Linked DNA regions of Coturnix japonica. The main gene of each other region encodes a partner of the protein of the gene in region 2 in a complex. Links are inferred from orthologs where the notes say so. Each region holds a gene or a part of one and is shown on either strand. Other genes may lie near its edges. The genes, in order: TPX2 and AURKA.

The links.
Region 1: the proteins of AURKA (region 2) and TPX2 are in contact, whole or in part, in a crystal structure (PDB 3HA6), measured with the Homo sapiens proteins. The link is inferred for Coturnix japonica from reciprocal best matches to the Homo sapiens genes AURKA and TPX2. Residues at the interface, in NP_001310232.1 of Homo sapiens: Lys125, Arg126, Gln127, Trp128, Asp132, Glu152, Gln154, Ser155, Phe157, Leu159, Lys166, Glu170, Gly173, Glu175, Leu178, Arg179, Val182, Glu183, Ile184, Ser186, His187, Leu188, Arg189, Tyr197, Gly198, Tyr199, His201, Val206, Tyr246, Ser249; in NP_036244.2 of Homo sapiens: Gln3, Lys5, Ser6, Ser7, Tyr8, Ser9, Tyr10, Asp11, Ala12, Pro13, Ser14, Asp15, Phe16, Ile17, Phe19, Ser20, Ile31, Asp32, Trp34, Phe35, Glu36, Lys38, Ala39.

What each region holds. Positions count from the first base shown.
Region 1 is NC_029535.1:9,011,613-9,016,050, forward strand, and holds the start of TPX2 (targeting protein for Xklp2), read right to left. Parts: upstream 2,847-4,438; 5' UTR 2,717-2,846; intron 2,301-2,716; exon of another isoform or gene 2,176-2,300; intron 1,383-2,175; exon of another isoform or gene 1,211-1,382; intron 595-1,210; exon of another isoform or gene 464-594; intron 1-463. Other genes in the region: BCL2L1 (bcl-2-like protein 1), read left to right, coding at 3,346-3,897. UniProt on the Homo sapiens protein: Spindle assembly factor required for normal assembly of mitotic spindles. Required for normal assembly of microtubules during apoptosis. Required for chromatin and/or kinetochore dependent microtubule nucleation.
Region 2 is NC_029535.1:10,854,626-10,858,940, forward strand, and holds the start of AURKA (aurora kinase A), read left to right. Parts: upstream 1-1,300; 5' UTR 1,301-1,410; exon of another isoform or gene 1,411-1,419; intron 1,420-1,618; exon of another isoform or gene 1,619-1,705; intron 1,706-1,957; 5' UTR 1,958-1,988; coding exon 1,989-2,042; intron 2,043-2,911; coding exon 2,912-3,197; intron 3,198-3,774; coding exon 3,775-3,853; intron 3,854-4,315. Other genes in the region: CSTF1 (cleavage stimulation factor subunit 1), read right to left, coding at 1-62, 646-774. UniProt on the Homo sapiens protein: Mitotic serine/threonine kinase that contributes to the regulation of cell cycle progression.

The DNA.
Region 1 (4,438 bases), about 1.8 Mb from region 2:
GGGTTCTAAGTGATACAGAGACAGGCACGGGCCTAAGAATAGCAGCCCAAGGAACCGGCTGGGTTATTTATAGGCAGGTAACCTCTGCTTATTATTAGATAAACTGACGTTCAAGCAACACAAAGAGCAGTATAACCATAGCCAATGTGACAGCAATGGCCTCACCAAGGGGCACCAATGGCCTCATCCTGACCCTTTTACTTCAATACCGAAGCATCAAATCCCTTTTCTCCCCCATTTCAGACACTGCTTTCTCCCCTTCCCCCCTCAGAGCCGTTCACAGCGTCAGGCTGCGGCCTACCCCCAACAAGCGGACAAAGGGGCCCAAAGCAGAACAGCAGCCCGTGCTGCCGGTACCGAGGCACACTCATGAAGCGGGGACAACACCAGGAAGGGCTGTGTGCGGCTGTGGGCAGCCCCGGTTGCCGTTGATTCCCGGTGTCCCCCCCCGTTCCTCACTCACCTCAGCGCCGCAGCCGCCGAGCGCGGGGCTTCTGCCCGCCGCCGTTAGAGGATTTCAAACGGGACTCGTCTTGTCCGAATGGACCAATCAACGCTCAGCTCACGCCCTCGTTGCGTGTTGATTGGACGGGCTGTCCAGACGTTAAAGAACCCGGATGAGCGCTCCCGCCCCTCCCGCGGGGGATGATGGGAAATGTAGGATTCGAACGGAAGGAACCGAAGCCTCAGCACCAGAAACAAACTGCTACTCCCATCATGCACAGGGAGAGAAAGGCTTCGACCAATCAGGGGAGGCGGGGCTCTGAAACAGCCAATCAGCTGCAGGGAGGCGGGTCTACCAGGCAGGGCCGGTTCCGCCCGTGTCTGCCCTCTGCCGAGTCTGCTCCTTGTTACCAACAGGTCAAGTCACCCGATTACAGCAGCCATAAGGATCCCCCCGCCCAGCCCCTCACTAACCTCACACCGCCCTCTATGGCCATGGATTCAAGCAGCCGCCTCATCCAGCCCTATGGCCACACCGGCCTTTCCCCGGCTGCAGCTCAGCTCCGAGTCACAGCCCCGAGTGCTGCGGGAACACAACGCACCTGCGGGCGGGGCAGCCGCCAGGGGGCGCTCGAGTCCAACCGGCCTCCTTGTCGCTGCGCATGCGCACTGCCACGGCCGCACAACGCACGCAGGCGCATGCGCACCGCACCTCAGACCGGCGGCGCCGCACGCATGCGCGCTGCCCCCTCCCTCCCTCCCGCCCCCCCCGGCTCGGCCCAGCAGCGCAATGTCCGCTCGGTGCTGATGCGGCGGGACACCGGGCACTGCTGACAGGCCCGACGGCCGGCTGGGCTCCCGGCCGAGCCCTGCGTCGTCACCGGTTGGGCCCATAGAGCGGGATCGGTCACAGCCCGGACCATCCACCGACCGCTGAGGTGAGGGGCGGAGCGGGGCAGGCCGTGAGTGACGGGCGGTTCCACCAATCAAAGCAGGCCGTTCTCTAGCTCCGCCCTCTCGGAGCTGTGGCGGCCGGTGATTGGCTGATGGCGAGGGGCGGGCTGTGTGCCCTATGGCGGCCCTCGTGTGCGGGCCCCGTGAGTGGGGACGGCGGCCGAGAGGGGCCATGGGAGCGGGTACGGCCTACAGCAACACCGGTACGAGGGGACCGGAGTGACGGCACTAAGGAAGCCGGGCTGTACGGCGAGACCCTGCCATAGTACCGGGGGGGAGCTCTTTGTTCAGCCGCCCTGTGGGTGCAGCACCCCGGGCTCTGCATCCTGCTGCCCCCAGCTCAGTGCTCCATGCATTGCATTGTATTGCATTGCATTGCATTGCATTACATTGCATTGCATTGTATTGTATTGCATTGCATTGTATTGTATTGTACTGCATTGTATTGCATTGCATTGCCCTGCAGCCCTTACCTGTGCCCCAGTCCTGCCCCACACTCTGACTCACCGCCAGGCTTTGGCACGAAAACCTTACAAAGAAACGCCAATTACTCAGAGCTCAACGCCGCCAGCAGAGGAGCGGCCCCTGCTTCCTTCATACATCAGAACGCTTCGTTATCTGCCTTTTGGAGAAGGAAAAGGCTCCACAACAGTGGGACCTCCCAGGGGCTGGCAGGGCTGGGGGCACCAGGAGGGCACGGAGCCTTGGCACTGAATAGGAGGGAGGGTAGGAGGGGTGGAGTGGGATGAGAGCACAGTGGGAGGGCTGGGGAGTTGCCTCCTCTCAGCGTCAAATTACTTTAATCCAACACCCTCAGCCAGAAGGAACGAGCTGCTGTTTCCCAGCCCGAGCTGCTATTTCCCAGGCTTTTCTCTGCCCTTTTTCTCAGGGTTGGGGTGTGGGTGAGTATAGAACAGTGACTCTGTGCTTTGTGCAGCCCTGCCTGCCCGCTGCTATGGGGCTTCGGGAGGAGCAGCCCCTCCGTGCTTTCCTTGCAGCCCCCAGGGTGGGGGGAATGCATTGCATGAAGGCTGCTGGGGTGCATGCAGGGACTGTAATACCTCGTGGGGAGGAGGGGCTGTGCAGAGGAAACAGCATTCAAACGACTGCAGGGACCTCAGTTTAAATAACATTACAAACAAACACCCTTTATTTCATCTGTGGTTTCATCTGCGTGTAGTTGCTGGAAGTCTTTAGAAGACTTCTCCTGGGGTTGTTCCTGTTCCTACCTTATTTCCAGGCCTGCTCCTCATACCGTGATACTGCACTGAGCCCTGCCATTCCCTTCTCCTCCAAAGGAGACCCCCGCACCTCTTACCTGCTGCTTTTAAAGGACACTTGGAGCCTTTCTCCCTCCCGTTCCCCCACGCTGGGGGCCGTTCCGAGGGACACGGGGCCGGGCCGAGCCACCGGGGATGGGAACGGGAAGCGGAGCCCGTAACCCAGCTCGGACACCGTCGGTCCCGCTGGGCAATGCCGGCGGGGGGCGCGGCCGGGCCCTTTAACGGGAGGGGCCGGGCGGGGGCGGTGCTGCCTCCGCCTCCGTGTCTCTCCGGGACTGACGGAGCGGAGCGGGGCCGGGCCGCCCGCAGCACCCGCAGCTCTCAGCCTCCGCCCGGCGAGCCCCGGCTCTGCCTGAGCCCGGTGAGCCCCGGGGCTGCGGGAGGGCTGAGGGTGACCCCGAGGGGGGATCCCCGTTCCGTGTGCGGCGGCGGTTCCGAGCGAAGCTGGGTGATGAGCTCAGTGTAACGTTAAGCTATTGATGTGCACGGCGCAGCAAGCTGTCGTGTTAACCGTTTCCTTGCCTCTCTTTTCCTCTCTGTGTGTCTGTGCAAAGGTCGGATGTGTTCGCCGGTGGTGAGGGAGCGTGGAGCCGGGAGCTGCTAAGTGTGCTTATCTGCTCGTGCACTGGACCATGGACTCATTGAGGGCGTTCCAGGTGTGAAAATGTCCGGCAGTAACCGGGACTTAGTGATTGACTTTGTTTCCTACAAGCTCTCGCAGAAGGGGCACTGCTGGAGCGAGCTGGAGGAAGAGGATGAGAACAGGACTGACACTGCGGCAGAGGCAGAGATGGACAGCGTCCTCAACGGGAGCCCATCGTGGCACCCGCCTGCCGGCCACGTAGTGAATGGAGCCACCGTGCACCGGAGCAGCATGGAAGTTCATGAAATCGTCGGAGCATCTGACGTGAGGCAGGCGCTGAGAGAAGCAGGGGATGAGTTTGAGCTGAGGTACAGGAGGGCTTTCAGCGACCTCACCTCCCAGCTCCACATCACCCCTGGCACGGCGTACCAGAGCTTCGAGCAGGTAGTCAATGAACTCTTCCACGATGGTGTGAACTGGGGGCGCATTGTGGCTTTCTTCTCCTTCGGAGGGGCTCTGTGCGTGGAGAGCGTGGACAAGGAGATGCGGGTACTGGTGGGACGCATTGTGTCTTGGATGACCACGTACTTGACCGACCATCTAGATCCCTGGATCCAGGAGAATGGCGGCTGGGTAAGAACTGCTCTCCCATAGGGATGGCTCCCTGCATCCTAGCTCAAGGCCAGATCAAGCTGCCTGCAGTGATTGTGCTTGTGCTCGGTCTAGACCTTGCAGGGCAAGAATTTGGTATGTGGCCCTTCCCTCTGCGTTCTTAATGCTCTGCTGCAAGAGGGTCAGTCCACTGTGTTGAAACAAAGAGTTAACGTTCTGATCTGTCCTCCTGCATCCCTTTTTCTCCTCCTTCTCCCTGGCTGTTACATAAGAGACCCATTTTCCAAGAGCCTGTGGAAATGTAATGTCAACCAAGCTTGTTCTTCAAATGGGAGCCCTTGCTCTCGGGCATGTTCCTCATGTCATTTAACAGCAGGGAGTGGAGCTTCCTCCTCTCTGTGCTCAGCAGTGTTCCAGCCCGGCCCTGTGATCTGGTGGGGTAACAGCTACTTCTTCATTCTGGAGATGGGACGATGTCTGCCGCTGCCATCGCAGTGCATTGAATCCTGCAGCCTCTCTCTGTGGGTGGGCTGCAGGGAGCAGCCCCTCGCAGCACGGTGCG
Region 2 (4,315 bases):
CGAAGAACGCTCCTCCGCGAGGGCTGCTGCATCGAGCGCCCGCACATCGATTGGAGCCGACTCTTAGGGGAGAGAACGGCGGCGTCACGTCACCGGTGACGCGTTAAGGACGCGACGGGCCGCTCTAACAGGACCCCTGCCTTGTTAAAGGACCCCCCGCCCGGTGGGGAAGGGGCGGGCTGCAGAGCGGAGCCCAGCGGGGATCCCGGGATCCAACGCCCCCTCCACCGTGGCTCGGACCCGGTTGCAGCCCGTGGGGTGACGTGTCGGGCAGGGCACAGCCTCGAGCAGGCCCAGGCGGCCCGTAGACACACAGAATGACCCGGGTTGGAAGGGACCTCAAGGATCACGTAGTTCCAACCCCCCTGCCTGGCAGGGCCACCAAACATACACCTTTACTAGATCAGGTTGCCCAGTACCGCCCCGTGCTGCCCATCGGAGCGTAGAGCTGCTATGAGCACCGCAGCTGGGGGCTGCGAGTCTGTGTTTGGGCTACAATACCCGCACGGTGCTGCCGGACACCGCAACACCTGCCATGGGGCACCACGGCACACAGGCCTCACGAGTGTTTAGGGCCGCCAGCTCAGCCAGCTCAGCCCCTTCCATGTCCCACCGCCACCCAACCCACAGCCCCGTGCTACTCACGTCAGCCTCCAGAAACGGCAGCCGTAGCGGCCGCGGGTCGAGCAGCGGAGCTGCCATGCTCCCCATACTCCCCATGCCCCGCGGCAGCTGCCGTCGGTCACACGCTGCAGCCACGCGACGACCGGACATCTTCTTTTTCCCTATGGTGTCCCGCTTGTCGACACCAACACACCGGGACCGCCCTCGAGCCGGGTCGTTAAGGACGCGGAGCCGCTGATAAGTTGCCTTCAATACCTTCAATCGCTTCTTCAGGCAGCGGGTCCCTCAGTGCTGTGAGACAGAGCAGCACCACGAGCCGCTCCGCAATGCACGAGCAGCACCGGGCGCTGTGCAGCCAACAGCCGGGCGTCCCCTCGTGCTGAGCTGGGTTGGTGCCCCCTTAAGGCTCGTTAAGGGCACGTGGAGCAGCGCCGTGCGAAGCTGAGGCCTGATGCTCCTCCTGCTGCTGCCCGTCGCACCTCAGCACACAATGGCCCCCAGCTCCCACTCGGCTTCACGCGAGGTGGCAGCGCCGCGTCTCCCTCAGCCCCAGGTGACGCTGAGGAGGATCGAGGTGTGAGCCCGGCTGGATGCAGCACTAACCTGGAGCCCTTCACCCCCGAGGCCTCGTTGAGCGGGAGTTGTAGCGCTGCCACAGGTGGGTGGGCTGGACGTAACGCGATTTGCGTAACGAGAGACCGCGGCCGGGCTGAGACTTACGGAGAGAAAGTGTGTGAGCTCGATCCACGCACTTGGAGTACGGAAGAAACAAGCGGCGGACAGACGGTACGTAAAGTACGTATGTAACGTAAACGCCGCCCAAAGGGTGGGCGGGTCGGGACGACGCGGGTACGCAGCGGGCCGCCGTTGCGCATGCGCACCGCAAGCTCACGGCGACGAGTCTAGGCCTCGCGACGAGCGGGGAGTCAGGAGAGCCAATGGGAAGGCAGGTAGACTGAAAAGCGGCCAATCGGAGGGCGCGGATGCCAGGAGAGGAGCCAATGGCGAGGGGGCGGAATTTTAAAGGCTATTTAAGGGAGGGAGGTTTGAATTCAAACAGTTGTAGCGGCCGCGGGCCGAGGTGAGTGTGGGGACGGCTGGGCCGGGTCGGGCCTCGCGTGGTGCTGTGCTGTGGCCTTACCTGCGGCCTTACCTGCCTCGAGGGCGGCCCAGCCGGCGTGTGGTGTGGGTACGGCCCGGCCGTTACGGAGCTGGGGCGGGCAGGCCTAGGGGGAGGCCTAAAGTGAGGCCTAGGGGGCAAAGGGAGAGCAGCACGTCCGAGGAGTGGCGCTGCTTGGAGGCTCAGCCCTGTTCTCTGTTTCATTCTCCATAGGTGAAAGTGTATCTTGCTTTTCTCGGGCACTATGGACAAGAAGATAAAAGAGAACTGTCCTGGGAACCCTTCTCGTGTTATTAAGGTGAGAGGCTTATCGAGTTGATGGGGGTGACTGAGCTTCTGGCTGCTGTTATTAACATCCAATTATTTAATTGGGAAGTCCTAGTAGTGCAGTTTTTATCCCTAATCAACTAATAAGACAGCAAAAACATACAGGCTGTGACTTGCAAAGGACGTGCTGCCTGAATGTTGTATATCTTTGTGCATGCCTTAAGATTACATATCTTTGTATACAGAAGCACGGACATTCTTTTCTTCTAATTTAAGTATAAACAGGTCCTTGTCAGGTTTTAAAGTAGTAGAAGCATGGTTTAAAATCAGCTTTCAATGCATTGGATCAAAAAAAAAAGGAGAATATAAGTCTTCCTAGAGAGTGAAGGCATCAGTAACAGATCATTAGCATTTGAATTTAATTCTAGAGCAACTAAGCATTACTTAAATATTAGTTTAAATTTCCTTCCTCGACTGAAAGAAAAGGATTAAAAGTAGGTAAAGGAACTATCCTAAACTTGGCTTTGTTCTGATGAACTCCTGTAGTAGCGCAAGGCATCTTAAAATACACATCACTCAAGGGAACAGTGACTCAAAGCATTGTATGTGAACAGGATTCCTATAGTAAAGGCTGGTCTGAGCTTTCCACTGTTATCTACACTTTGGTGGCTCTGTGTCTAGTTATGAATAAGTATGTTGTTAATAAGACAGTAGTTTTCTACAAGTCAATTCAATTCTTAAAAAATAAGATCAGAGTAATTTTAACATCTTCTTTTAATATACTGGTTTTTTTTCTCCTCCCTATCTTTTTCTGCAACCTGTACCTAACACTGTTGTACAGGGACATAAAGGTTATAGTGTTCTATTCTATTACTAATGTGCAGTTGTTGTTTTTTGAAGGCAGCGAATCCAGTTGTGGATGGCCCAAAACGTGTCCCTGTGTCTCAGAGTTCTGCCCAGAGCCAGCCACTGAACAGTGGAGTTCAACTGCAACGTGTTCTGTGTCCTGCAAATTTTGCCCAGCGAGTTCCTGTACAATCACAAAAAAATTCTTCACTGTCAAACCAAAAACTGTCTAACAATCAGACAACACAGCAGCCCCGACCAAAACTTCCAGTCCAGCCAACTGCTGGGCCTCAGGTTCCAAGCAAGAGCAGTGAAAAACCTCAACAAGCTCCTGGACCTGGTAATTCCAAAGATGATACATTTCTGTGTTTGTGACACTCAGGAGAATTCAAACAAGAGTGCAGGACAGAAAATGTAAAGCTCACACTAACGACATGTTGGACAGTCCTGTAGAAGAATAGATGGTTGCACCCAGAAAGAGAAAAGCAGCACATACTTCATCTTAGATATTACTGTACTGTCCTTGTTGCTAGAGTTAAGGATTTAGAGGAGCTAATAGAAGTGTTCCTCCAGTCTTGAAAATTTACAGATGCTCATTAGTCAACTTTGAATACATGCAATTGGTATCCCTGCATCATGTTTTTTTCCAGTGTTCATGGTAATCTGATACACAAGAACACTGTATGAGCAGGAGGGAGAAGACTTCTTAATGTTTTCATGAGTTTCAAAAAAGCATTTGAAGTTACACTTTGATAAAGTAGCTCTAACTGCTTTGCTGCTTTGCCACTGGTAAGCTATGCTAGGTTTTAAATACAGAGGATAGACAGTAAATTGCTGTAGATACTACCCAGACTTATTCCTTGTGAATGTTTTGCATTCGCTGGTGGTTTATAGTTGTTCTATTTGATTGTATACAGCAAAGAGTTCTGAAGCAGACAGTGTCTCTAAACAGAAAAGTGAAGAGCCTACTAAAAAGAAAAAGGAAGACACTAAAAAGTAAGTTGCGGGCCTTAAAAACTTACAGCTGTTAGTTGTGCTTTCAATGTCTAGCAGTTCATGCTACAACTGAGTTGCAGCCAAGCTGCTGCCTACTTAAGCCTCTTGATTGCTAAGAACAGTGGCCTTCATAGAGACAATGTTTATTAATGAAACTCTGGGAAGGGTTACTTTGCTTTGGTAATCTTTAGGAACAATAAATTACTTTAATCTGAAGGAAAGCTTTTGGCACAAAAAGGAGCAACTTTTCCTGTGAGAGAATGCTGATAATCACTGCTGTAACAACATGGTGTTCACTTGGAAAAATGTGTTCACGTGTGCAGGAGGGCTTGAGACCGACTTTGGATGCAGTTTGACTTGCAGTATGGCTGCTTTAAAACAGTTCTGATAATCTAGAATGTATCTGTATTAAGTACATTGGAATGTGCTTAGTTATACAGTTTTGGCTTTGCTGCAGTATGT